Notamacropus eugenii: one gene and its partners. The protein of the gene in region 3 interacts with the protein of the main gene of each other region in a biochemical or structural test. Links are inferred from orthologs where the notes say so. Each region holds a gene or a part of one and is shown on either strand. Other genes may lie near its edges.

What was found.
Region 1: the proteins of SNTA1 (region 3) and HTR2C interact in a test that uses a peptide from one of them, tested with the Homo sapiens proteins (2 studies listed by BioGRID and IntAct). The link is inferred for Notamacropus eugenii from reciprocal best matches to the Homo sapiens genes SNTA1 and HTR2C.
Region 2: the proteins of SNTA1 (region 3) and KCNJ4 interact in a test that uses a peptide from one of them, tested with the Homo sapiens proteins (2 studies listed by BioGRID and IntAct). The link is inferred for Notamacropus eugenii from reciprocal best matches to the Homo sapiens genes SNTA1 and KCNJ4.
Region 4: the proteins of SNTA1 (region 3) and SCN5A interact in a test that uses a peptide from one of them, tested with the Homo sapiens proteins (2 studies listed by BioGRID and IntAct). The link is inferred for Notamacropus eugenii from reciprocal best matches to the Homo sapiens genes SNTA1 and SCN5A.

Annotation. Positions count from the first base shown.
Region 1 is NC_092879.1:95,876,127-95,883,284, reverse strand, and holds the start of HTR2C (5-hydroxytryptamine receptor 2C), read left to right. Parts: upstream 1-4,141; coding exon 4,142-4,179; intron 4,180-7,158. UniProt on the Homo sapiens protein: G-protein coupled receptor for 5-hydroxytryptamine (serotonin).
Region 2 is NC_092874.1:295,848,182-295,855,578, forward strand, and holds KCNJ4 (inward rectifier potassium channel 4), read right to left. Parts: upstream 2,809-7,397; 5' UTR 2,733-2,808; coding exon 1,410-2,732; 3' UTR 513-1,409; downstream 1-512. UniProt on the Homo sapiens protein: Inward rectifier potassium channels are characterized by a greater tendency to allow potassium to flow into the cell rather than out of it.
Region 3 is NC_092872.1:417,512,349-417,519,461, forward strand, and holds the start of SNTA1 (alpha-1-syntrophin), read right to left. Parts: upstream 3,001-7,113; 5' UTR 2,737-3,000; coding exon 2,400-2,736; intron 90-2,399; coding exon 1-89. UniProt on the Homo sapiens protein: Adapter protein that binds to and probably organizes the subcellular localization of a variety of membrane proteins. May link various receptors to the actin cytoskeleton and the extracellular matrix via the dystrophin glycoprotein complex.
Region 4 is NC_092874.1:473,245,240-473,252,072, forward strand, and holds the start of SCN5A (sodium channel protein type 5 subunit alpha), read right to left. Parts: upstream 3,009-6,833; 5' UTR 2,864-3,008; intron 1,612-2,863; exon of another isoform or gene 1-1,611. UniProt on the Homo sapiens protein: Pore-forming subunit of Nav1.5, a voltage-gated sodium (Nav) channel that directly mediates the depolarizing phase of action potentials in excitable membranes.

The DNA of each region.
Region 1 (7,158 bases), on a different chromosome or scaffold from region 3:
TCCCAAGTAAAGGCCTCTGTAAGGTCCACTTGTAGCAATGAGTATTTGCTCATTTCTGGGAGTGTTCTCCACGGCCCATCCCAAATTTTGAAGGGATATTATTTTAGGAACACAATTGGTATCGTGTCAGTCAGGGTAGGGATGAGTTCAAATCCTGGAGGAAAAAAATGGCCCTAAGTGGATCGAGCTGGAAAGAACTCTGAACATCCTCTCATTTACAGAGGATGAGGGGCTCCCAGAGCTGAAAGGTAGCAAGCGACAAAGTAGAGATTCCTGTCATTCCAAACATGCTCTGTATTCTCCTTCACTGAGGCCGGGGGGGGGGGGGGGGGGCGCCAAGGGATTCGGAGAAAGGGGACTCAGAAGTCAAGTATAACTTCCTCCACACTAGCTGTGTGCCCACCCCTCAGGGACTGAGGCAACATCTTAAACCAGTCACTTTCAAGAAAGTGGTCTTTTTGCATTGATTCAGGGAGGGGACCTCTCTCCATGCTGACCTGGGCTCGGTTCCCCGGGCTCTCATGGACTCAGCAATCCCAAGTGTCCCTGCAGAGGAGTCACCCTGCTGAGGCAGTCTTGGGGATTGAGCTACCTTGTCTAAGCCTTGGCCTCTTCTGTCCAGAGGGCTGAGGGATGGGATGTAGGGTGAGAGGTGTACAAAGGGTTCACATGCTCCATAAAAGACAAGATAAAAAGTTGCCTGGTCATCTGTCAGCTTCTCCTCAAGCAGGTGAGGTCAGGTGAAGGAAAGTCATTGCTCCTCTGCCCTTCCCTGCCCCCATCTCATCAGGACCGAGCCTTAGGACACTGAGGCAGGACCAGGCATCTCCGAATTTCACACTAACCCTGCAGATTCTGCTAGGGGGTCAGGATGCTTTACAACCTCCCAAGCCCTGGCCGCCTCCTCTGTGCCCAGAGCTTTTCAGTCCCTGGTTCCTCCAGAGTCCTCCAGGCTGTGGAGAGCGGGAAAGGAATGGGTCCCAGCTGCAGGCAGTCAAGTCGGCTTGCTCCCAGCTGCCGTGGAAGGTCCCCAGAGCTAAGTCAATCGTTTTTGAAGTTGGCCTCCCACAGCATGCTTATGCTTTGCAAATTTGTTTTGGCACAGGAGCTGGGGTGCAACCTGTGACTCGACTTACTCATTAGATGGAAACGGCCTTTGTCAGCTGCCACATTGCTTGAGTCACCATGTTGCTAAAATAAGCTGTCTTCTGTGAATCGTGCTGCTCTAATTCTGCTTTCTTGTCATTTTTGCTTGGGTTCTGTCTTCTGCTTTGCCTTGCCTTCATTGTTTTCCCTTTTCTCCTGCTGTTCTACTAAGTAGGCAAACAAACCCTGAGACACAGTATGCTTCAGCCACGGGATGGATGGAAGACAAAACAAACAGCTGTTTAAACCTGCCCGGTAGGAAATCCGAGACATTAATGTGTATCAAAGCAGGTGCTGCAAGAAGTCTGTCTTGCAGCCCTTGCTGGAACAGAGTCCCCTCAAAACCTGAGATTGGCCACCTCTGACTTCCACCAAAGTCCTTTTGCTAGAGTCTCTCCCCTCCCATCAGCTTTCACTCACAGAGATATTACACACACCTTTACTGCCAGAGCTAGGAAGCAAGAGATTCAGCCCTAAGGATGATTCTTTTTTGCCAAAAAGCCCCTTTCAAGATGAGGCTTCCCTTCATATATCTCCCTGGCGATCATCAGAGTTCCTGGTATGCCTCATGTGCTACCACCGATGTTGCAGTATTGGACATGTCTTTGCTAAACATGTCATTTCACAAGGATTTAGACTTTCTTCTGGGTGAGGTCTTTCTGAGACATTGTCCTCTGGGCAAGTACAGCTCTTCAATGATGTCAAACCATGAGGGAAAAAAGGCCCCTGGCTTTGTTTTAATTCAAGAATATTCCTCCTTTGCCAAGTGACATGTCCATAAACAGCCTATGGGCATCAGAGCCCCCAAAGGTGAAAAGGCTATGGGTAAGGACCCAGTAGTAGGTCACTGAGCCATGGAACAATGACACAGGGCTTTGCCAGTAGATCCTGATCCAGTAGAGTCATTAGGATTTGGGCAAGGGAGATAAGAATCCCAGATGAAGGGCAGGTTCCATCAGATTTCCCAATGAGAATTACAACTTCATCCAATTTGGAATATTGGCCAGCGAGCCCTGTGGATAAGGCCCCCAACCTCAGTTTTTCTATGGAATAAGGGGCAATTGAAAGACTGACATTCATTGAGTATTTCCTAGGATTTCAGTCAGGTGTGGAACCCATCTTCCGAGGGTTCTAGTGCATGACTTTACCATATGCACATGTGGATGTGGATCTGCCTATGCGGGGTATGGACATTCCAAGTCTACACTTGTATGACTGTAATTTCTCTGGCCTTTTCCATTCTGTTCATGGACTCGTTGAGGGCTCCACCTTTTTATGACAAACCCATATTCTTTAAATGATACAGCAATGGTAAAACAACATCCCTGTCACTTTACAATGACTAGCCACCTCAACCAATCCTGAGTAGAATTTTTCTTCTTCACAAGGAAATACAGGTAAGTATAAGCCTTCCAGACCTACAGTATGGGTACTTGCATTCTCAGATCTCCTAGAAGAATGTGTGTGGGGAGGGCTCCCAGGTTCTCCACCTGCCCCTTATGGATCCTGGAAGCAAGAGAGGGGAGGAGGACCAGGTCTGGTCATTACAACTTGGGGTGATTTTATCTTCTCCCTCAGAGGCTCTTATTGCCTCAGGCAGAGGGCTTTTCTAGATAGAAAAGGGGGCTCTCTTGCTGACTAGACTCTTGGCAAATTGACATCCTCAGCATCAGCTCACTGCTGGCACTTCTTCCTGCCTGGAAACCTGCCAGGGCTCCTACTCTGAGTCTGGGTCACTCCTGCCTGGGGAAAAGGAAGCATCGTGGAAATGTATAATTAATTTGGCCTCACCCAATGTAAGCCCCTTCTCTGGGATTCTCCAGGGCTCACTGATGACAGACAGCTCAAATACTAATTGGACGATTTTGAACCCAGGCAAGCAGAGATTAATGCCCTCCTCTCCCCTCTCCCCACTCGCTTGACCCTTGTTAATGATATTTCTCTAGAGAACAGACTGTGGGACCAGAAAAAGGAGGAGATGATTGTTGATTCACTAAAACATAACACCCCATCTGCCTGGCCTACACTGGGCACATCTCCACCATAGCCTACTCACAGAACTAGTCTAATCATTCAGTGTGATTCCTAGTGGGAGGCATTTCTGGCAGTCGTAATCTCCTTTGGTTTGCTTTCAGCTGTAGGTGTTTCAAATGCTACCTGGGATCTATGTATGCCAATTGGTAGTCCTCCTTGGAGGTCTGCTGCCCAGCTCCAAATTGCATCTTAACTCACCTCCTACTTGTCTTCCAGCTTCAGACATCAGCAGACTTGCTTGAGCGCAACTTCCTGTGAGGTAAGCTTCTTCCCCAAACCCAGGAGCGGCTTTTCCTGACTTCCAGTCCTCTCCATGAGTAGTGAGTTGTTTATCAAGGTCCTGCTAGGGCCTGTGAGAAGCAACTGAGCTAGAGACATGTAAAAGCATTGTGTGGAGATGAGTCATTCATCAGTTCAGGAACGATCAGCTTTTCAAATGTGCCTAGAGATTGGGGAGGGGTGTTCATCTCTACTCTGAGGATTTCTGGTATCTTTCAGACCTATGGGCCTCCTGCCCCAGGTTCATGAGATCAGAAACTCATGAGCTTCCCACCCCCAAAGCAAAGGGAAGAGTTTCTGAGAAGCCTTGGATAAATAACAGGCATCTGGCCCCTTTCGAAGAAATCCCCAGCCAAGGAGGTACAATGAAGGAGATTCAGTAAAAACATGACCCTGTGGCCAAGCCGCGTCTTTACTTCGCAGTATCATTGATCCTGGAAATTTTGGAGAGAGAGCTCAGTTATTTTTCTGAAGGGGCCCAGTGGCCCTTTCATGTTCTCTCAACAGAGTTGGAAAAATGTGGGGTTTATTTGTTCTAACCTTGGTTTGGAGTGATGAGAGAGGAATTTCAGGAATTTCTCATGGAAGGTTTTTTCTTCCCCTCCAAGGAAGACCAGGATTCTCAACTGAACGGCCAACTGATAATGTTCCCTAGGTGCCCGAGTGGAAACACTGTGCAACCATGAGTCTTCTAATACCCAGACTTAGGGCACTCTCCAGGTAAGAACAGCCAAGAGGTAGCCTGAGGCTTGCTTCCTCGCAGTGCAGAAAAGACCTTTGGAGCAAACTGAACCCTCCTAGTAAGCACTATCTGCTGCTAGAGAGAAATTGATCCTTGCAAAAATATCAGCCAATCAACCTTTTCCTTAATTTTTGAAATCCTGAAATCAAACAATGAAATAGGCTCTTTGTAGAGGTTATAGGTTTCCTTTCACTGGTGGTCTGTTTTGTCCATTCATAGGAGAGGGAAGAGAAAAGATAAAATAGTCCAGTCTCAGACTAGATGTCTTTCAGGATCCAGTCTGACTCCACAAGGCCATCTATTGAGGAAACTGAGGTAGGGGGAGGGAATGAATGATGTAGTAGCCAAGGTTAGCATAGCACTCTCTCATCTTTCACGGCCAACAAGAGGATAAGAATGGCACCCAAAAAGGGTGGTGATGACCCTTTTCTTTTTTCCATCCCCCTACTGGGGTAGGTAGTAAGAATCAGATGACATCAGCTTACCTGAGAGACACCTGTCAACTCCTTTCCGTGGTCTTCATAGGCCTCACCAAGCACAAAGTGAATGGGAAAGTCCAATATCACTGACCCAGAGGGAAAAGCGTGGTGTGGGACTACTTAAAGATGTTTGCTCTGTGGGCATGAACCTCCTTTTGGTCTTTTCTCCCTTTCCAGATTGTGTGTAAGAGTAAATGCGTGATTATAACCTCCTCTGTGCCCACCATGTTTGTCACATCCTAGGATCACAATGGGGAAAATCATGACTTAGAAATAAGCTACATGTGAAAAGGGTTTTTCCTTGTCTCTTGGGGTGATTGAAGGAAAGAATTTGAGATGGATACAATACATTATCCTCCTTATGGGGCTGATTCATTAACTGAGGTCACCATGGAAAACACCTGACATGGGGTGGGGTACTCATTCATTCAGCAAAAGCAATGTCATTCTGCACTGAAAGTCTCATACAAATCTTGGACAGATGTTCACCTGCAATTGGAAAGGAACGAGTTTTTGCACAAAGCTCATATAATCATGAATAGACTTACTCACAAATGATTTGTGCTACAACATGTCAGAACAAATCTCCAACAGGCCCTCGTGGCCTGCGAAACAGAGTTGCCTCAGTAGTTTGGGGAATGTAGCCACACTCCGGGAATGACCTCTCTTCTCCTAGTGCCCAACATGGAAAGCCTTTGGTTTGATGTGGAGTATTCCACCCATAGTACCAATCTGTGACTTATAGTGATGACAAGGATGCCATCCAGGACCCCCTTTAAGATACACTGAAAGGAGAGGCATTTGTGTCCATACTTCTCACTTCTGAGCCCAGTAGCTCAGTATATCTGTCTCTGTACATGTGGGTAGAATCATAAGCATGCCAGGTCTATCTCAAAAGGGAATGTGGCCCCAGCATGGGATCCCATGGGCTCCTTTCAGGGTCTCAGAGGCACTCTGAAGGAAAGCAAATCCTAATGCCAAGCTACCAAATTCATCCTAGCGCATCTCCAAAGACCCTCTCCGTAATGAGACCAGGTTATGCTGCATCATGAACTTAGACACAGCTTTGAGTAGGGATGAGCCCAGTCCTTGGATCCCATCTGTTTCTTTCCTAGGTTTGGGTCCCATGATCCTTTCCCCAACTAACTTGTCATACAAAGCTGTCTATTTTTCACAGCATCCTTTGTTTCCTCTATCATTTAACTTAGATCAGAGGCAAGACCAGGTCCGAGGGGAGATGTGATGTCAGTTTCTTTATCCCTGCAAGGCTCCTGGTGGGCCAGAAGCATCTCCCCTGGGTCTTACATTTGGTATCAGGCTGCTACCAGGAGGCTCAAACTGCTCTTTCCCAGAGCAAAATCGAAAATGGCAGGAGGATGCTCAGCATCCAGGCTTGGGAGCCCAATCCTGAGACTCATCCATCCTTTGGACAGATCATGTGATGTCTGAGCATGGGACAGAGGTGGGGGAGTAGTGTTATTCGGTAGGAGACACAAGCCAGCAGACCTAGCTAAAGATGGTGAGCCTGACACCCTGACCTGAGGCTCCTGGGCGGTCTGTTCCTCCCTCCCAAGGAGAACTGGGTCTAGGTAACTCTTTGAAAGCCTTTAATCCCCTTTTCATTAAAAGCATAGCAGTTATGCAGAAACTCTTGGCCCTTTGTCCAAAGGGGAAAGGCAAGGCCATGGGGGTGGATATTTAACGCGACTCTTTGAGGGTGGGTTAGAGTAAGGCCAGGAGAAGGGCAAAAGAGAGTCCAAGCTCTGGTCTCAGAAGGACTTGACTTTGGCCAAAGCTCCAGACTTGGAGAACTGTGGCAGAAACAACCAGGATCCCTTCCCACTGGGTATCCTCCCTCCAGCCTTCTGTGATCGTGAAGCATTTCTGTTGGTGTTTCCATTGGTATAATGAGAAGGAACAAGACACAGTGGTGATTCAAACCTGAGAGAGTATAGGTAAGAGATCAGAGATGGAGGTTGAGGGTGTGGAAAAGGATTCCCTGGGGGGGGGGGGGGGTCATGTCACTAGGGTCCTGAAAGTGGTGCTCAGAGAGTATCTCAGGAAAGCATTCCCTGTCTGCTACTTTCAGAAGGGAAGATGGCCTGCCTGTTTCACCATGCAAGGAACCAGGACCCAAAGCTTACTTGGTGAGGATGGTGTAGCTGCCTTCTCTGTAGGGTCTAGGTAGACCCTACATTGTCCCTCTGCAAATGCGGTGCTAAAATGCCTGGGCTGGGCAGATTCTGCTCACCGATGTCTCATACCCTGGGTGCTCTGCTCACCTTTGGTACGATGGGTGGAATAAGCCAGATCAAACCTAACTGCCCAAAGAGGACTGCGGTTATAGTGCTGGAAGGTACCTCAGACGTCATCTCCCTTAGCTGAGAGGGAAAGAAGTTGGTACCTGGGGAGGTCCAATGACTCCTCTCCTTCTTCCTTGAGTTGCTGCTTCTGTGATCTTTGGCAAGACAGTTAGGG
Region 2 (7,397 bases), on a different chromosome or scaffold from region 3:
GATAGGATCTCCTGCCCTGGGTTCAGTAATCATCTCTCTCAAATCTACACACCACACCCTCATCTCCTTCCCAAGCTTGGGTCCATTTTTCCAGCTCCAGCAAAGCCTCTACACCTCAACCCAAACTGAACATCTGCAAACAGAACTCATCAGCTCCCCCACTTAACCCCAACTCCCTCCCCCTTCGTTGTGCCTGCCCAAGTAAGGGTTGGAAAAGATGGTCTCCAAGGTTGCTTCCATTCTTCAATTCCAAGAAACTGAGACCCCAAACCGGGAAACAGCATATAAGGTCTTCATAGTTAATAAACAGCCCCAGGATTCAAACCTAGATTTTCTCCCTCTGTCTGCAGTGTCTCTCCCACAAGCCCTGCTTCTTCTACACTGAAAGGATTACTGCTACTACATCCTACTGAGTCCTCCTGCCCCTGCCTTCTTCCTCCTCCCTCCCTCCAATTCCCAACAACCAAGACCCTAGGAAGATGGTAGACATGCCTCTCATACTCTAGGTCTCTTTCTCCCCCTCCTTTTGGCCCATGTGGCTCCAAGAGGATTGGATACTTTATTAAAAATAATTAAAAATCCCATTGTACAGTTGTGTGTGTTCAAAGGGTGGGGGAAGATGGGCAGAAGCTGGGGTGGGTGGTCAGGGGACCAGCAGAGGTTGGGCTAGCACATGAAGGGAGCCCTGACCCTGGGGGCTTCTTGGGTTGACATCCCTCATTCTGAGACAGTTCAAGGACCAAGGAGCTGTAAGAGCCAGTACATGAGGGAGAGGAAGAGGGGCCGGGCTTCATCTCCACATCCTGCCCCGGGAAATTGAAGAATCTGGGTTGGATCTCTCTTGTCTTTATATATATGTATATATTTACAAAAGGATGTGTGACAGGTCACAAACATGCAAGGTAAACCCTTTCTTCTACTTCCCCCAACCAGCTTTCCAGCCCTAGCCTCCGTGTGAGCCCCACACCCTCCACATCTGTCCAAGGAACCCCCCTGAAGTTCTCCAGGGCAGCTGGGGGCATGTCCTGGAAGGGCCTAGGGGTGCCATCTTGGGCAATTCTGGATCTGCAGGTAGAGTCAGGCCCACAGCAGTAGATGTTGTGGGATGGTTGGCATGGCAGAACTCACGGATAGGGGCCTCCCTGTTGCCAGGGTCTAGTTTTTGGGCACTACTCATACACTCATTTCTCATGGTCCCATGGGGCCACCAGAAGGGTTCCCATGGCCTGGCTGGGTTCTGTCCTTGGGAGGGGGAAGTGTTTGTCCCAGGGATATTGAGGGAGGGGATGTTCATGGTCTGCTGGTCCTTCTCCTGCCTAGAAAGGGGGATTTTCCCACATTGGACATGGGGTTAGGGAATGGGAGCCCAAGATGACAAAGGGGATATGGGTAGACGAAAGGGCAGGAGGTCAGATGGCTGACTCCCGACGGTAGGAGATGTTGTCAAGGGGCAAGGTAGACTGCATCCTCTCCAAATCCAGGTGGCTCCCAAACTCCAACATGCGAATGATGCCACCATCTTCCTTAGAGCCGCCCTCCAGCCCCAAGCCAGCCACATCCTCCTCCAGTTCATCCTCCTCCTGGCTCATGAGTGCCAGCTCATTCTCATAGCAGAAGGCACTGGGTGGTGGCGGTGGGGCAGGAAGGACCGTGATCTTGCTTTCCTGGAGCTCACGGGCTGAGCAACACGGCGTGCCAGCCACCTCGTAGGTCTTATGGAAACGCGAATAGTCCACCTTGTAGTGGCTCTTCTCCTCAAAGACCACAGGCTCAAAGCGGTGGCCCCAGAGTATCTCACTGGCCAGGTAGGAGCTGCGGGCCTGGGTGGTCATGGCTGTGGCTTCCACCATGCCCTCCAGGATGACCACAATCTCAAAGTCCTCCGACTCTAGCTCTTCTTTGCCCATGCCGTACAGGGGGCTCTCCTCATCAATCTCATGAACAATGATGATGGGGGACACCAGGAAGATGCGGTCCAGCCCAATGTCGTAGCCCACATTGAGGTCCCGCTGGTCCAGGGGCAGGTACTCACCCTCCTCCGTCATGTACGGCTTGATGAGCTGGGCCCGAACATGGGCCTCCACGATATGACTCTTCCGTAGGTTGCCCACCCGCCACATGAGGCACAGTTTGCCGTCCCTCACAGAGATGACAGCGTGGTGGCTGAAGAGCAGTGTCTGGGCCCGCTTCTTGGGCCGGGCCATCTTGGCCATAATGGTGCCGATCATGAAAGAGTCAATGACGCAGCCCACAATGGACTGCACCACCACAGCCATGACGGCCAACGGGCACTCCTCTGTCACACAGCGAAAGCCGTAGCCGATGGTGGTCTGAGTCTCCACCGAGAAGAGAAAGGCTCCCAGGAAGCCATTCACATGCATGATGCAAGGCTTCACGGCAGCCTGCGGCGGGCTCCCGCCTCCTCCGGGACCTGCTCCAGCAGGGCCAGACGCTGGGGCCGGACTGGGGTCCAGGTCACCGTGGAAGAAGGCGATGCACCAGAAGAGGAGGCCAAAGAAGAGCCACGAGACCAGGAAAGCGGCGGAGAAAATCATGAGCATGTACCGCCAGCGCGTGTCCACGCAGGTGGTGAAGATGTCGGCCATGTAGCGCTGGGACTTGTTACTGAGGTTGGCGAAGTAAACGTTACACTGGCCATTCTTCTTGACAAAGCGGTTGCGGCGCTTCCGCCGGGGGGCATGAGCCTGCCCGTTCCGGCTGTGTCCGTTCATCCCGCCCCTGGCAGAGATCCAGTGGCTGTCCTCACCACCTGGGATGGCGCCGGACCTGGAGAAGAGACACGGTGGCCAGACGTTAGGGGAGCGGATAAACGAGGGTTAGCCAATGAAACCAGAAACCGTAATCATCTGCTCCAAGTGGAGGGAACAGTCAGCCTCAGAGCCAAGAAGGTGGGTTCAAGTCCAGCCTGGAATAAATAGATCTCGCCTGGGTGACCTTGAGCAAGTCACGTAACCTCTCAATGCTCTAAGAAGTCCTACAATAACAATCCCAACTAACTGTGATAAGCGATTTGACAAATATTATCTCATTTGATCCTCACAACCTTCCTGGGAGGTTGATATTATTATCCCCATTTTACAGGTGAGGAAAGTGAAGCAAATAGGGTTAAGTGACTTGCTTGGTGTCACACAGTAGGTTTGTGAGGCTGGATTTGAACTCAGGCTCTATCCACTGCTCTGCCAGATTGCCTCTATTCAGACTCTACGCTGTGGGGTGGGTGACAGGGGCATTGGTGAAGGGTGCTTCCTCACTGGAAGTACTCTAGGTGAATGAAAGCACAGGCTGGTTCCCAAAATAAGTCACCTCCTGAGTGGCATTCAGTGGGACATGGACTCCTGCTGGGGATGGGGTGCTTTTGTATTTGTGTCCCCAGGGGTCAGCAAGTCCGTGCCTGGCACATAACAGTAGGCACTTACTAAATGCTTGCTGAAGGGCAGCAAATGGAATAATGATAAAATGATAGTGATGATATAAATCCCCTGCCTGTGTAGAATGCTGTGGTATTTGGGAAGAACTTGTATGTGCATTATCTCACTGGGTAAAAATAGCTCCTGTTTCTCTAGGGATTTGATGTTTCCAAATTGCTTTCTGAAGCAAAGCCCTGTGAGGTGTGTCAGCAGCACAACAGCTATCATCCCCATTTCACAGATGAGGAAATGGAGGCTCTGAGGGGGAAGGGGCATGTGGGGTGGAAGGAAGCCCTGGACTTGGAGTTGGAGGTCTAGGTTTGGAGTCCTTCCCATCTCTGTGACTCAGGACACAAACCTCCTCTCTAAGTCTGTGTTTCCTGCCTCTCGGATGCCAGGAAGTTGGATAGGATGGTCCCTAATGGTGAATTCAATTTTCTCCCACATGGCTGGTTATTGTCTGTGCCCACAAGAGAACCCAGGTGCCTTTACTTATTCCAAGGCCAATATGCTTTCTCCGCTACATTCAGTCTCTGGACTGGAGGCCAGGCAGGGCTGAGATTTGGCTCAGGGAGGCCAGGACAGGGCTGACAGAACCTCACAGAGACAGATTTCAGGTCAATATGAAGATCATTCCTAAGATGAGAGCTATTCCAAAGGGAAGCAGGTGACAGGGAGCTCTCTGTTAAATGGGAAGTGTAAGAATAGGTTAAAGAAGTAATGGTTAGTTAGAGATGTCAGGCAAAGGCTTCATGCTACTGGTATAGGGGGAAGAGATGACATCCCTCTGACGTCCCTCAGGACTCCGAGACCCCTGCTCCACAAATGAGCAAACAAGCTCAGCAATGAGAAATCATTGTGGGTGTAACAATGGTGATAACGGGGATGGTGACAGACAGGAGACATGGAGGTCATGGTGACAATGACAAAGGTGGTGAAAATGGTGATGGTGACAGAGACAGAAAACATGGTGGTCATGGTGGCAAAGGCAAAGATGGTGATCGTGGTCATAGGGACAATGGGGATGATGTTGCTAGTGATAATGACAGTGATGACCAAGAGGATAATGGTCATGGTGATGGCGACAGTGATGACTGTAACCATGGTGACAGTGATGACCATGGTGATGATGATGGTGGTGGTGGGTAGGGGCCGCTGAGGTGCTGGTGTCCATAAGGGTCATGGAGAAGTAACTTGGCTACAGCCTGGGGTACAGACAGTCAGCCCCTTCCCCCGAGACTGCCCTTTGTCCCCCTCACTCCCCCATCCATCTGAGAAAGAGGAGATAGCCAAAGCACCGCTCCATCCCCCTGCCTTGCCTGGTGCCAACCAAGTCTCTGCCACCAGCAGGGCCAGGGTGGGCAGGGAGGAGGAGGCCAAGAGACGGCTCTTGGTAACATTTTGGCCCAGAATTATGGAAGGCTGGGAGTTTCTATTTTCTGTTCTATTCTTTTTGTTGATCTAATTGTGTATCTGTAGCAGTGTTTATACACTTCCCCGGTTCGGGACAACTCAGTTGCCACAGCAACAGTGCGGCTGCTGCCGGGGTCCAGGCTGAAGAGGCAGCGCTGTAATTTAGAGATCAACAGCTCAAGTGGTGCCAGCTTCCCTGGGAGAAACTCTCCCCACCGTCTCTCCACCCAACCCCCCTTCCCTTGGCCTCTCCTGGCTCTGGGTGCCTGTGTCCTCATCACCTACCCCTAGCTACAACAACAGAGGAACATGACCGTCACTGCTCTATGCCAGCCAGTGCCCTCACTACCTAAACCCCACCACCACCATCACCCTGGTGCAGGAGCCATTAGCCCTGGGGACATAGATGTTGGGGTGGGGAAACAGTGATAGGGAGGGAAGGGTGTGGGCTCAACCCTCAGAACTGTCTGGGGAGCTGAGGAGGGTTGTTACTCGAAGGTTCCTGCTGTATGCTTTGACAAAACAGGCGTAACAGACCATTATTCCAAAGTCACTAGGAAGGTTACCCTACTCCCTCCTGAAAATGTTCCCCTCTCTACTGTCACTGTGCCTGAAATTCCACCATTAGAGCCACAGAGTGGACGAGCTGGAAAAGGACACAGACACAGAGATGCACAGAAAGGGAGAAATGGAAGGTTTAGTGGAGGACCTCTAATTCCAATGTTTTATTTACAGAGATAAAAACTGAGGTCCACAGAGGGGAGATGACTTAGCAAAAGCCCCAGAGGAAGTTAGCCAACAGAGCTGGGACTGAAGGTCAGGTCTCCTGGATCGTAGCCCTGATTTTTCTCTATAATACAGTATATAAGGGATCAATTCACTTGGATTCTGAGGGTTCGGGGGTGGGAGGGATGCTTCCAAAGTCCTGCAGAAAGCACTTTCTTCTGGGAAAGGGGGAAACCACCTGCTTGTATTAACTGGCACCTCAACTGGAATTAGCTGGCAACCAGGCTAGTGTAAGGTTAGGAAGGGGAAAAAGAGAACAGGTGGAAAGATAGGAGAAATCTCCCAATTTTGGATCACTTCGGGGGAGCAGGTCAGGGTAGGGAATGACACTGACTTGAAGACTAAAAGACCCTCCTCAATGGCTGTTTGTATCTACCTCCCAACACCAGGAGTTGTCCTGGAAGACAGCCTCAGCCCAGGAGAGGAGATTCTCCCAAGCAATGAGGCACTCACCTTCCCTCCCTCCTCCAAATGTTCTTCAGCTCCATCTCTAAGTGAGAAACTGGGGCTGGTGGACTCTAAGATGGTCATTCCCAGCTCCGACAGTCTATGTTTGCAGATCAATTCAGCATGCATTGAATACTTGCCATTTCCCAGGCACTGTAATGGTGTTGATGATCATGATAAAGCATTTATATGATGCTTTAAGGTTTATAAAGCATTTTACAAATATTATCTCATTTGATCCTCATAACAAGCCTGAGAGGCAGGTGTTATCATTGTTCCCATTTTACAAATGAGGAAACTGAGGCTGAGAGAAGTTATATGACTAGCCCAAAGTCACACAGCTAGTAAGTGTCTGAAGCAGAATTAGAACTCAGGTCTTCCTGGCTCTAAGCCCAGAGCTCTACCCAACTAGCTGTACCACCTAGCTACTAGGGGCCAGAAATAGAAATAGATCATCCATTAATAGGCATTTATTAAGTGCCTCATACTGAGTGAAGTGCTGGAGTTACAGAGACAAAGCACACACACACACAGAACAGTCTGTGCCTTCAAATATCTTACATCCTCTCAGGGGGTAGTATCCAAATTTTTTTGTTTTATTGAAATATAAAATAATTTCTGGGAGCAGGGTTAGACAGTGACTAGGTAGATCGGAATGGACTTCATGAAGGAGGCAGCTGGGAACTGAGCTTGGAAGGAAATGAGGAAGCTCCTTGGGACAGGGGGGAGAAGGAAACTGCATCCAGACCTGAGAAAGAGCCAAGCTCTGCAAAGGCATGGAGAGAAAAGAAGGTAAATCCCCCATGGGGGCCAGCAAGCAGGCCCATTTGGGCCAATGAAAATCCCAAGAAGGGAGCACAGTACGATAAACTTGCCGAGGTAGTGCCAAAGCCAGATTGCAAACGGTTTAAAAGTCAACCAGAGGAGCAGGCAACAGGAAGCTATTGGAGTTCTCTGAGCAGTAAAGGGACATAGGCAGATTCACTTGGGAAAATCACATTGGCCGCTATTCAGAGCAGGCACTGGGGAGGGGAGAGACTGAAGACAGAAAGAGCAATTGGGAGGTTAATGAAGTACTGCAGGAGAGAAGGAAGGAGGGTCTGAGCTAGGAGGGTGATGGGAGAAGTGGAGAGAAGGACAGTTGATTGACAAGATTCAACAACTGATCAGCCTGATGCTGAGCTTGGGAATGTGGGTGTCCAGGAGGGTGGTGGCACCTTCAGCAGACCTAGGGGAGCCAGGCTGAAGGGGAGTTTGGGAGGGAAAAGGAATGAGTTCCCTTCTAAATATGGCAGGTGTGAGAGTCATCTCCATGCCCAAGGC
Region 3 (7,113 bases):
ATCGCCCACAAACAGAGCCTCTGTCTGGTCAGCTGCCAGCCCTTTGAAGATCTTGGAGATGAGAATGGGCATCTTGTTCTCTCGGCCACCTGAGGATGCACACACAGACAGGTATATATGTAGGCACACGCAGGAGATAAGGAAACAGGCATCAATGCCAGGGAATTGGGGTGACAGGTATTAAATAAGTACCTACTAGCATTATGAAAAGTATAGGAAAAGGCAGGAGGACCCTAAAAATGGAACCAGAGACCATTAGAACTGGAAGAGACTTCAGAGGTCATTCGTCCAAGCCTCTCCTTTTACACAGGGGAAGCTGAGGCTGGAGAGGGGGAGTGACCCACCCAAGGTCACACAGTAAGTCAGTGGTAGAACTGGAACTAGAACCCAGGTCTCCTGACTCCCAGGTCCAAGACTCATTCTGTTTTAACAGTTCTCTCCCCATTTTATGGAGGGACAGGTTGTGGCCTAGGAAGAGGAGGGGATTTAGCACAACCCCAGAGAGTACATTAGACTCAAAAAACTTATTTAGCAGAAAGGCTGTGTATGTGTGGTTAGGGGGGGAGAGGAAGTGGCCTTAGCTAAGAGGTTTTATGGCCTTTGGACCCTACCTCCAAGAAGAATACCAGACCTGAAGGGATAGCTCCAAGTTCATGAGCTGTTCTCCAAAGCAAAAAGTTAGTAGAACTCTAAACACAGCATTAGCTGAGACTGTCATGAACCCTCAATAGCCAAACTTCCAAACCAGGTTCAGGAGAAATGACTTCCCTTGAGGTGACAAGAACTCATCCTCAAATCCAAGAGAGAACTATAGATAGTGTGTCTTTCCCACTTGGAAAGGGCAGGGCTCTGTTCTCAATGGAGACCTAGCTGTCCACCTTTGCCAACTCCATGGAAAAGGAGGAGGGAGGCACAAGCAATGAGCAAAGGCAGAGGAGGATTATGGGGTACTCATAAAGAGCTGTGGGCTGAGGACTGGAAGACCTTGGTACGAGTCTCTTCGACTGCTGTTAATTTCCTGTGTGACCTAAGATAATTCATCTCCCCTCTTTTCACTCTCTACAAAATGATAAAGGGGTCAGTGGACGGTACTTGCTGCATGCTGTCTGATGGGAAATTCTATCCTAAGACTACGATAGCATTCAATCCTGCCATTCACATATCAGTCTGGAAGAGGTGATTCTTCCCCTTCCCCCCCAATATTCTAACTCTACCTCTAATGGCTCTTCCTGCTGATGTCTGGGGATATTTTGTCTGTTCTCTGCTACAAAAACCATCTGTGACCAGAAATGTCCTAATATGGCTCTGGGACCCAGGACAAAGGGACCTTCAGCCCTCTGAGAATTGTTACCCTATCCAGACCCATAAGCATCCACATAGCTCTTAGGGGAGAGAGAAATTAGGAGAGAGAAGTCAGGGAAAAGAGAGACTAGAGAAAAGAGAAATAAATAAGAGAAAGACATGAAAGGGGGAAAAATAAGGGAAGGGGAAGATTAGCGGAGATGAAGAAACCAGGACTGAAGTGGGAGGGATCATGGACTAAGATTCCCCCACCTTTATAATGGCCTGGAAGCCAGACCTTAATTTTATGGAAAGCTGAAGGACAAGGCAGATGGAGACGGCAGCAGTTCTGGTCTTCGAGCTGGGAGCCCTGGGTTCCAATTCTGCCTCTGATACTTCCTAGTCCTTAGCTTCTCTGGGGTTTCTTTACATGTAAAATGGTGGAGAACCTACTTTGTAAGCTTTAAAACCTACCAGGAGCAGAGCATCACTGTGAGGACAAAGGTGGGAGGGTCGAGGAGTGCTATGTAACAGGCTCGGGGAACTGGCACAGCAGAGGGCAGAGGGAGTCCTGCCTCACTTCCAGCCAGGGCCAACAGGCTGGACTGGAGAGTTTAGACCACAGTGGACAGGCACTACCCTGTGAGGGTTCCGTGGAGCTCCCGGAGACTCGGACTAGGAAGCAATGAGGCTACCATTGGAGCCAGGCTCCCAGCCAGTCCCCAGACTGGGCTGCTCTCCTCGCGGAGGCCCTGCCCACCAGCTCAGCCTGCCAGGCCCCGCTGTCCCGTGAAGTTTGCAGAGCGAGAAACTGGGTAAGAACTTGCGTTTGTCTCCATGTGGCCAGGTCGTGATCTTCAAGGGTCTGATCGGCTCCCACCGCGGTCACCCTCCCGCAAACGCTGGGACCCCGAAAGCCAGACAGGCAGTCAATCCGACAGACAGGGCAGTGCCCGGCACGGCGCCAGGACGCAGAGCGCCCCTCACCCCTCCTGTCTCTGTCGCTCTGCCATGCTGGGCTTCTTCACCTTCAGCCCGGCTCGGCTGCCCTCCCCACGTCCCGCTGCCGCCCCTGTGCTCCCGCCGTGTCCCCCAGCCCGTGCCCCTGGGGCCGCTACCTTTGATGCTGATGCCCAGTCCGCCCGCCTCCTGCTTCACCACACGCACGGTTCGCTTCTGGTTGAGCAGCGCGTGGGGCAGTGGAGGCGTTGGGGGCGCTCTGGGGGCTGCGGGCGCCCCGGAGTCCGAGCCGTTGAGCTGGGGCAAGGACGCGGACGCAGGCTCCGAGCCGGAGCCCGGCCCCGGCTCAGGCTCTCCGCTAGCCGGCGCGGCGCTCACCGTCACCACATCGGCTGCCAGGCTGACCAAGACCCGTAGCCAGGGCCCGGGCCCCGCGCTGCCCGGAGCCCGCAGCTCCAGTAGCCCGCTCTTCGGGGAGCGCCTACCCGCCGCCATCTTCAGAGCCAGGGAGCTGGAGAGCCCGGGAGCTAGAGAGCCAGCGGCCGGCGAGCGCTCCGGCCCCCTCCCCGCCCCTCCCCGCCCCTTTTCTACCCTTCCTCCCCGCCCCGCCGGCGGCCCGGGGGCACCGCGGGGGAGCCCAAGAGCGGGGGCACCGGGCACCGGGCCCAACTGCCACCCCGCCTCCCGCCCCTCGGCCGGGAGAGGAAGGGATACCGGTCACCCTTTTCTCGCCCTTCCGCGGGATCTCCGTTCCAAATTCCAGGACTGGACGGGGCGGGTTCTCCTGGCGTTCCTCTGCACGAGCTAAGTGTAGGTGCTGGAGGAAGCGCTTGGATGCCCCAAGGAAAGATGGAAAAGGAGACTGACCTCCACTCTCAGAGAAAGGTGGGCAAAACGAAGACCACCCCCTTCGGAAGACCCTTTTCCCAGCGTGCTCCCTAATTTTACAAATCAACAGACAAGACCAGAGAGGGAGATGATCTTGGCCAAGGTCACAGAGTTAACGGCTGAACAGGCTGATGGATGGAAGGCCAGGCTTGACCATGGCCCTGGCTATTCCATGCTCGAGTTTGGCTGCCTCCCTATGGCCTCTAGGAGAAAATAGAAATTCCTCTCTTTGGCCTCTAAAGCCCTTCACAACCTGACTCCAACCTATCTTTCATGGGTTATTCTTCACTCCCTCCCACTCTCCCACCCAGAAAATAGAGCATTTTCAGCCAAACTGGCCTACTTGCTATTACCTAACTAGAGGATATATCAACATTCCATCTGGCCTCTCTGTGTCTTTTCCCAGACTTTACTCCATGCCCAGATTCTCTGTCCTCCCTTTCTTGGTTCCAAATTCACTGCTCTTTCCACCTTGACCTTCATCAGTCATGTGCTGGTCCCGCTAGAGGGAGGTTGGTGGCCTAGATGTTTGACTGTGATTTCAAGAGGGGGCTCAGTCTACCCTAAAGTTAGATCCAGCAAGTAAAGAGTTAACCCAAGAGTTGGCTGATCTGACCAGCCCCTCACTCCTTTAGACCTATCAAACTCACAGAAATAGGATCCATTAATCCTTACATAAGGAACCCCCCCCCCCCAGGGATTTATTGACTTAGTTTTAAAATGCAATATATCTTTATTTTATTTCATTTTAATATTTCTGTTACATTTTACCCAGTTACACTTTAATCTGCTTCCAGCCATTCAAGAGTGTATTGTCTGTCTCCAACATGTGTTTAACTCCTCTGCCCTGGACCATGGGGCTTCAAAGAAAGATAGATTCATAGACTTTGAGTTGGAAGGTACCTTAGAGAGGTCATCTAATCCACCCCCTTCATTTTACCAATAAGGAAACTGAAACACACGGGTTAAGTGACTCACCTAAGATCATGAAGGCAGCATTCGGAGTGGATGTGTCAGGCTGTGACAAAATCACTGAGCAGATGGAGGTGATCTGATTAAGTCACTGGTCAGAGCTTTATGTGGCATCAACAGCCTTGACAATCCTTATTGGGAGAAGGGTGGCTGGTCCTCTGTCTTAAGTGGAGAGCCTCCCTGGCACCTTCTGTTTTTACTATTTCCCACCTAGGCCTTTGGGTTTTTTAGCCTTTCTCCCTGCCGTCAGGGGCAATAACTTTCCCAGCCAAAGGCTAAACTAACTCCTGCTAAAAAGATTTCGACACAGGACCACCATCCTCTCCACCAAGAGCTTCTGCCCTTATTCTCTTCTCTTTTCTATCCTGGTGTCCTGGGCTGAAGTAGATAGCCTCAGGAAATTTAGGATCATAGATATCCAGCTGTCTTTCAGACATCTCAAACTGGATGTTCAGTAGACATCTTATAGTCAATATGTCCAACAAAACAAAGCTCCTTATTTTTCGCTCTAAACCTTCTCCCCCTCTTACCTTCCATATGACTGTAAAGGGCAACACCATCCTCCCAGGCCCTCAGGCTCACAGCCTGGGAGTCATCCTGGATTCCTCACTGTCTTGCCCTTCCTCCCCCCTCCCATATCCAAGCTGTGGCCAAGACCTGTTGATTTTACCTTTGCAACATCTAATAAGCCCCCTTCTCTCCACTGCCATCACCCTAGCACAGGCCCTCATTACTTCCTGTCTAGACTATTGCTGTAGCCTGTTGGTTAGTCTGCGGTCCTCAAGTCTCTTCCCCCTCCAATCCATCTTCCACTTAACCATTAAAGTGATTTTCCTAAAGTGAAGGTCTGATCATGTTATCCCCCTACTCAGTAAACTCCATTGGCTCCCTGTTGCCTCCAGGATCAAATGAAAAATGCTGTGTTTGACATTCAAAGTCCTTTATAACCCATAGTTCCCTCCTAATTTTCTAGCCTTCTCATACCTTGAATCCTGCCATGTACTCTTTGGTCCAGTGATACTGGCCTCCTGGCTGTACCACAAACAAAACTTTAGGTCTCTGGTTGTCCCCCCTACTTGGAATGCTCTAACTGCTCCACTCTGACTACTGACCTCCCTAACTTTTAAGTTTTAACTAAAATCTACAGAAAGTCTTCCCCAACCTCTCTTAATTCTAGTGTTTTTACATAGTAGACACTTAATAACTGTTTATTGAATGAATAAATGAAAAAGAATGTAAAGCTAGAAGAGCCCTCAGAGATATCATTTAGTCTAACTTCCTTCTTTTACATATAAGGAAACTGAGGCTCAAGGAAATTGTGACTTGCCCCAAATCTATCAGTCAACAAGCATTTTTGGAGTCCTCACTATGTGCCAAGTGCTGTGCTAAGGGGATATACATGTCCTTTTTGGAATATACATAAGAAATAATGTACATCCCCAGATCCATCCATGAATGGATGATAGATGGATCCATGCAGCCTCTCCTGGGACCATCACCTCCTCTTTCTCCCCACCAGTAATCTTGTGGATTCCAGATTCTCCCCCAAGTCCTTGTGTTTTTGCCTTTATCTTGCAGGTGAATAGGGCCTCCCCTCCATTTCCTAGGCTGCCCATGTCATGGTCCCAAGAATGTGATCTCTCTTTATGTGTGATCTTCGGCTATTAGAATATAAGATCCTTATGGGCAAGTGGCAAGCAGAGGGGAACAAAGCCTGACCCACAATATGGCTTAATGAATGCTTTATCTATCTAACAGAATATCTCAGCAGGCAGATAGTCAAGAGCAGAGTTAGGATTTGAACTGGGATCTTCTGAAGCCAAGTCCATTTTTCTCCACTGCTTAGGCAACATGGTACACCAAAAAGCACATTGATCCTAGAGACAGAGGACCTGGGTTGAAACCCACAACCAAAGAAACTACCCAAGAGACTTTGGGGAAGTAATTTGACTTCTCTAGACCTCAATTGCCTCATCTGTAAAATGAGGTTGGATGAGGTGAACTGTGGGTTGTGGATCTATGATCCCCAAAGTCCTGTCTAGCTCTCTCAGGCTTTTTTTTAATCCTAGCCTTTCTGTCCTTATGTACAGCTGTAATCACATTGTTTCTCTGTTCAAAACCATGGAGTGTGTACCCCATTGCTCACTGAATACAGCCCAAGACCCTTATCGTTGCACTCAATCAGCCACCTCTGTACTTGTCAGCCTCATTTCCCATTGGCCTCCATTCATTCTATACTACATGATTCACCCTGCTTTGTAGTGTCTCATCCTTTCCTGTCTCTTTGTCTTTGCTCATCCTCCTCCCTCTCCACCTGTTGAATTCCTACCCTTCTCCCTGAAGCATCCCTTGATGCCCCTGGTTAAAAGTCATTTCTTCCTCACCCAGTCTCATAGCATTTAATACTTTTATACACTTGGGATCATAGAGTTTATTGCCTTCTAATCTGTTTTATAATTATTCCTGGCTATGTCTAAATTCTCCTGGGTGAGTTCCCTGACCCTGGAAGGGTCTTTAGCATTCATTTTAAAAAGCTGGCTCGGTTTCAGATGGAATTCAGATGCTACTGTGACAGGTGGACATTGATCTCTGAGGCAGCTCAGGCAAGGTCTGTCCAAGCCCAAATGGAGAAACACTTGAGCAACTGGACTGATATGGAGAGAACGTGGAGATAGCTAGAAAACACCCTCCCTCCTTGTCGCAACTCACACGTATGTTGAAAGGGGGACCTTCTGGAGACCATGTCAATACTTTTTTGGGAGGACTCTAGGGTAGGGCTTTCAGGCCACATAAAAGGGGTCCAACACTTTTTGCAAGCCTGTGGGGGGATACCAGCCTCTCCCATTCTAGCAGATAGACCCCAAATTCAGAGACTGGTCTGGTGACATGGTTCTGAGAGACGGTACCTCAGCACTTCGACCACTGTAAGTCAACAAAACCTGATTTGAGTCAAGGAAAAGGGTTGGCGTGCTCATGGTGCCAGCTGTCATGGCCACCTGTGCTGGGTCCCTT
Region 4 (6,833 bases), on a different chromosome or scaffold from region 3:
TAGCTGCCTTCTGGAGAGGAAGACAAACAAAGGAATGACATGCTAAGGGCAGAGATTTAAGCACTTTGGCGGACTGGTGGTGAGAGAGCAGGGCTTTCTTAGCATTTCTTGGTATCAGTGCTGGTATTTATTGCTTTGAGACAGCTATTCCTTTTGCCTAGATACAGGACTGGCCCTGGACAGCCACTTAAAGGTCCTGTTCTTCAGCTGAGATTACAATAACAATAATCTGCATATTTTGTGGGTTCCTTGATTGGGCAGTCTAAATTCAGAGACCACTGAGCTTATCTAGTCTATGCAAAAAGGGGAAACTGAGGCCCAGAGAGGTGAGTAGCAAAGAGAGAACCCGAGCTCAGTCATTGTGCCTCTCAGTTTTTTATAAACCTGTTGCCTCAGAGAGTTACTGGTTTCCCTTGCACTGTTTTATCTTTTAATATATGTTAACAGAGGACAGAGAGCTGGACATTGAGTCAGGAAGACCTGAATTCAAATCCTACCTCAGGCACTTAACTGTGTGACCTGGACAAAGTCACTTAACCTTCCTCAGCCTCAATTTCCTCATCTGTAAAATTGTGACATTAATGGCAGCTACATGATAAGGTTGTTGTGGGGCTCAAATGAGAAATATATATATATAGCATTTCACACATCATAAATGAATTAAAAGAATATTATTCTTGTCTAAAAACAGTTTTAAGCTAGGCTGCTTATAAGGATGGCTAAGTAGACAGCCTTATTCAGAGGTACTGCGCAAGGGGTGAACGATCCATGGAGCTGTTTCTCAATTCTGTTTTCAGATTTTATATTAATGCATTTATTAAGTTCTTTCTGTGTGCAAGTATGTGCTTCGCTGGGGAGATTATTGTATTTCCTTGGGCCCCAGCGTCTTTATCTGTAAAGTGGGTGGATTGGACTGGGAGACCTACGAGGTCCCTTCCCTTTCTGGGGTCGGAAACCTATGATCTGGGGAAAGCCTGGGATAAGCCGATTTGGAGTTACCAAAGTCCTTCCCCAAGAAATTCCAAGGCGGGCCAGGGCCCTCTTCTTTACCTCCTGCCAGGGGTAAACTCGGAGGTGAGACTAGCCCAGAAGGGTCCTGCTCGTAGTCCAGTGGCGAACAAGTGCCCACTCTCATGGAGTCATTGCCTGGAGAAGCCGCCTTCGGCTTCCCGGCTGGTCAAAGCGCACAGTCCAGGCGAGGCCGGCAGGTCTGACAATCTTAAACTGCCGGGCGAGGCAGCCGGGTTTCCGTGCACCTCTTTCTCCCGAGCCTCTCGGCGGGTCCCCAGAGAGGTTTCAGTCCAAAGCCTCAGAGAAAAAAGCACGTGGGCAAGGGGATGCCTTAGGGCACGGGAGGGAGCCTGGGTCTGGGGACCCAGTTCGAGGCTGCCTATCCGGCCCCGACACCTCCAGCAGTCCTGTCCAGTTAATAGGGTCGGGCAAGCAGCCTCTCGCCGCAATTTTCCACGCAGGGACTCCTTCCCAGAACATATAGTGGGGGGAGGGGGAGATGGGGGGTCGGGGAGAAATCTCCCCTCTCAGCCCCTTTTTTCAGTCTCCCGTCCCTGTCCCAAGCTAATCCACTGGTCTCGGGACACCATGGTCCTCCAGAGACATGCAGAAACATCCCCACCGACGGCGAGATGCCTGCCCCCCCTCCATACCTCCATTAACAGAAAGAACACAAAGCTCAGATCCTTCTCTAACCCCCGCCCGCTCCAGTATAGGTAACAGAAATCTCTTCCAGTCCGAGTACTATGTACACAACCAAAGGGCTTTGCACACAGTAGGTGCACAACGAAAAGCCGTTTGAAAGGTATCCAAAGGAAGCTACATCTCTTTCCCTTCGAAGACATTATCGAGATTTCCCCCTTTCAACCTCCCCCTTACACACACACACACACACACACACACACACACACACACACACACACACACACACACACAACCACACACAACCACATCAGAGAAAACAGTAATCGGATAGAAAGCGGGGAAGACAATTGCCCCCAAAGATGAGGGGACCTCTTCCCCCCATTCCAAGCCTCTCTTGGTTGTCAGCTAATGTCCTCCCACTCCAGTCCAACCTGAGTCCCTGGGAGCCCCCCTCCCCCAGCCGTTCCCTCTACCCCCCAGCCAAGACTGTTCTGACCTTGGGGGTTGTTCCGTTCTACAAACCTCTCTCGGACCCCAGAAGAAAAATAAAGCCCAGAATGGCCGGGACGGGGGGTCTCGAAAATTCTAAGCAGAGCTTCTACTCCCCTTTCTTCCACTGCCCCCCGACATTGCCACAGTGACGGAAGGAAGCTTCCACCAGGGGACTGGGACCGAGGGTGGGGGGGAAGAAGAGGACACTAACGCCTGGAGACGTTTCCTGAGCACCGGGAAGGTTGGGGCGGGCGAGGGGTGGAAAGGAGGAATCCCCCAAGCTCTGGTTTGCTGCGTCCCTGTTTTCCCGATGGGGGGGAAGTCCAGGATAAGGGGGTCATGGGAACGCAGAGGGAGCCTCCGGGGGAGGGGATTCTCTCAGGGAAATCTCTGCGGGGGGGGGGGGAGCTGGGGAGCCCTGGAGGGGTGCGAGGGGAGGAGGGGCTGGCTGCAGGGGCTCAGGGCTCCCTCTGTCCCAGCGGGGCAGCCCGTAGTAGTAGCAGCGACAGCAGGAGCAGTCCTGGGGCCGCGAAAAAGGGCAGCATCGCCAGCTCCCGGGCAAAGAGAAAGCCGCTGTCGCCCGACCCGGGGGAAGAAAGTTGGGCGCCCCTGGGTCGGCCAGGGGCTCAGGACTGCCACTGACCCCGGCCTCTGCCCCAGGCCCGCCCGCGTGGGGCTGCTGTTATAGCAACAGCCCCAAGCTCTCGCTCCTTACCTGCTCACTCGCTGGCTCGCCCTTCGCCCGCCGCCTCCTGTTTGCTCCTGCTCCTGCTCCGGCTCTGGCTGGCACGGCTCCTTCCCAAGCCGCCCGGCTCCGCGCTCACTGGCTCGCTCACTCGTTTCCCGGCTGCCCGCTGCTGCCGGGCCGCTCCCGGGGAGGCGCGGGCAGGAGGGCTTGCGGGCGGGCTGCCTGCCTCCGGAGGCGGGGCGGGGCGGGGCGGGGCGGGGCAGGGGCAGGGTCCGGCCTCGCCCGCGGCACCGGGCGCTCACTCGCTCCGTTGCGCTGCAGCCGCCTTCGTTGCATTGGGCTCCGGCTGCCCAATTGGTGGCGCTTAGCTGCCTTCTGCGCCGGGCTGCGCGCTGCGCGGGGCTGCGCGCTGGGGCTGTACGGGATTGGGCTGTCGAGGCTGGGCTGCGCGGGTCAGGCTGAGCCGAGCTGGGCAGTGCGGGATGGGAACGAGCGGGACTGGGCTGCGCTCTCCTCCCCGCTCTGTTGCCCCTGCTCTGTACTCCGGCTCGGCCTTACTCGGGGGAGGACGGGCGGGTCCCGGGGTGGGGTGCGCCTCTGCTACTCCCTGACCCACTCCTGCTGTGGACCGGCTGGGAACGTCCCCTACTGGGACGCGCTGCTTTAAGGAGGGCTCAACCACGGGACGGCCCGAAGGCTAAAGCTCAGCGCTCCCAGCATTTCACCTCCACCAGTACACTCGCATGCACACCCGTCAGTGTCCTCACAAGCACATATGGACCCAGACGCTAATACATACATGAGAGATCACACACACATGCTCGCGGCTCACTAACATATCCAAGAATATACAGACATAAAGAACTTCGGCTTTCGAATCAGAGGCTCCAGGCTCTATTCGACACTTTGGAGCTTTGTGACCTCGACAATTCTCCAGATCTATCTGGGCCCCAGTTCCCTCACTTCTACAATGAAGAGGAGGAGCTGTGGGTAGAGGGCAAGGCCACGTTCCACCTCTGACACAAACTAGCTGAGTGCTCTGGACCATCACTTAATCTCTTGGCCCTAACCTTTCCGTTGTTTTGTTGTTGAGTAGGTTCCGATTCTTTGTGACCCCATTGGGGGTAGTCTTGATAGATACTGAAGTGGTTTGCCATATGATTCTCCAGCTCATTTTATGGATGAGGGAACTGAGACAGGGTTAAGTGACTTGCCCAAGGTCATACAGCTAGTAAGTGTCTGAGGCCAAGTTTGATCTCGGAAAGAGGAATATTCCTGATTCCAAACCCAGTGCTGGGCCACCTGCTGCCTGTCTTTCTGAGCCTCATAAGTTACCTAAGGCATCACAGAGCGAGTTGCAATACCAGGCGTTTGAAACCCCCAAGAAATGCCCCAAGATGACCTAGCAAATGTAGGGATTGGCTTAGACAGATGTCTTTAAAGGATTTCCATTCTAGCTCGAAATCTGTGATTCCATGATATAAACAAATAAAACAAATATAAACAAACAAAGCACACACACACACACGCACACACACACGAGAAGGATCTTTAAAGTCATATGACAAAACAAAACACAACAGACCAGAACTTAGTCTTGCCTTCAAACATTCCTTCCCCCTTCCTCCACCAGGGCATATATGTATCTAGTCTTTGGAAAAGGCTGATGATAGTCATAAACCTAGAACTATAAGGTCCTCAGAGGTCATGGGGTCCAAACATTTCCTTTCACAGATGTGAACACTTGAATCTCAGAGAGGCTGTGATTAGTTCAGGGTCACATGGCTAGTAAGTGACAACAGGTAGGATTTCAACTTATGTCTTCCTCCAATGCCAGCACTTTGACCACTAAACCCATAGGTCTTTATAGTCTTGCACAAATTCTCAATATCTATCTTGAAGGGTAGGTTTAAATGTTAGAAATAGCCCAAAGTTATTGAGTCCAAATTTGGTGAGTCAGGAGGTGGTCAAAAGTATACAAGGACACTCTGAAAGTCTCTCTGAAAAACTTTAGAATTGATTGTGAAACATGGAAGACACTGACACAGGACCACCAAGCATGTCATGCCCACATGACAGAAGGCATTGTGCTCTATGAGTGAAACAGAATTGCAGTAGCTCAAAAGAAATGTTAGATGTACAAATTTAGAGCCATCTCCACTCCAACTGTTCATGTGAAGTATTTGTGCCCAGCCCATGTAGAGCATTCTGATATCACATTGGTCTGATCAGCCAGAGTTGGACACAATACCTTGACTCTGACAGGTCATTTTGGCCCACTTCAAGATCAAAGAGCAACAACCAATCGACCAGCCATCAGGAAGTGGTCATAGAATCGTTTGTCTAGGTCAAGTCAGAAGTGGGCCTGACCATAGAGTAATGAGGATCTCTTGCTCATTCCTTCTTGGTGCAGGTGACTGGGAATCAGTGATGTGTCTTCCAAAGGGAGCACTCTGAAGGAGATGCTCCGTAGGATGAACCCAGTTCATTTTTGGTTAACTGGTCATCATATCTAACCTAACTATGTATAGAGATGCTGATCTCTCAGTTATCCAGCTGTCTGGCCCTACTTTCTTGGTTTCTTCCTCTGGTTCCTCTTCCTCCTCTAACTGTGAATCCTTCCCCTCCCCATGCCCCAAGGCCCTGTCCTAGAAATACTTTCCTTTTCACATTCTACCCTAATGACCTGGCAAAGCTGGACTGGAAGTAAGAAGGGAGTAGGAAGACCTGAATTCAACTCCCTCTGTCACTGTCTAGCCAATTGATCCTAGACAAGACACTTTAACTTCTCTACCTCAGTTTCTTCATGTATAAAAAGGGACTGGAAGGCTACTGAGGTCTTTTCCAGATCTAACTAAGGGATCCTATGACCATCCATGCTTCAATAACTATCTATTAGGATGATTCTCAAATCTTCACCTCTTCAGCCCCAAGCTAAATTCTGGCCCTAGATCTCCAGCTATCTGCTGGGCATCCCTACCTGAATGATCTACCAGCATTTCAAACTCTATATAACCCAATCTGAACAAGTCTTCTTTCCCTTGAAATCTTTCCTCCTTTGGATTTCCCTGTTTCTATGGATAGCCCTACCATTTTCCCAGTCCCCTGGGCTTGAAACCTGGAGGTATCTTTAAGGCTTTCCCCTCTTTTGCCCTCTATAACCAAACAACTGTCAATCCTTGTTCTGCTTTCAAGACAGCTCTCCCAGCTTTCCCCAGCTCTCCACTCAAATGACAACCATGAGACTACTTCTTAAAATAATTCCTTGAACTGATACCCCTTCCTCCAGTCTTCCCTTCTGCAACCCATCCTTCTCACAACTACCAAAGTAATATAGACAAAAAATTCAGTGATTCCCCATAGCTTAGGGAAGAAATTACAATATTCTTATCTTGGCATTCAAGGCCCTCCATGATCTGAATCCAACCCACTCTTCCATGCGTATTTCTCCCTGATCTCCTTCACATACTGGAACCACTACCAACAGACACATAAGCACCCAAACACCTATTTCCTTGATTTTTCTTGTTCATTTACTTTCTTTTTTTCTAGAAGATGAGTTGGTTTTCCCCTCTGTCCTCTCCAAGATTTCCTGGAGACCAAATAGAACCAAATTCATGAAAGCAGCCTCTTTACATCCCCTCCAGAAGAAGAGGGAAGGCATGGTCCTTGTCCTGGCACCTGAGTCTAGGCTGATACTGGACAGATGGCTGTGGGTGAACAGGGTGGGGATATGGCTATTCTAAGATGAGATCGAGGAAGGTGGTAAGGAGGAGACACTAGGCTGTAAAGAACGAGTAGGAATTAAGTATGGCACTGGGGTAAGAAGGCATATAGGTGTGTTTGGGAGAGTAGTCAGAACTAACTTCAAGGTTGTGAATGAACATGGAAGTCAGGGGGAATGGCAGTACCATGGACAGAAATAGTGAAGGAAGAGGACTAGATTTAGGGGGAAAGATAAGCTCAGCTTCTGAACCTGTTGAGGTGAGGTTAGATG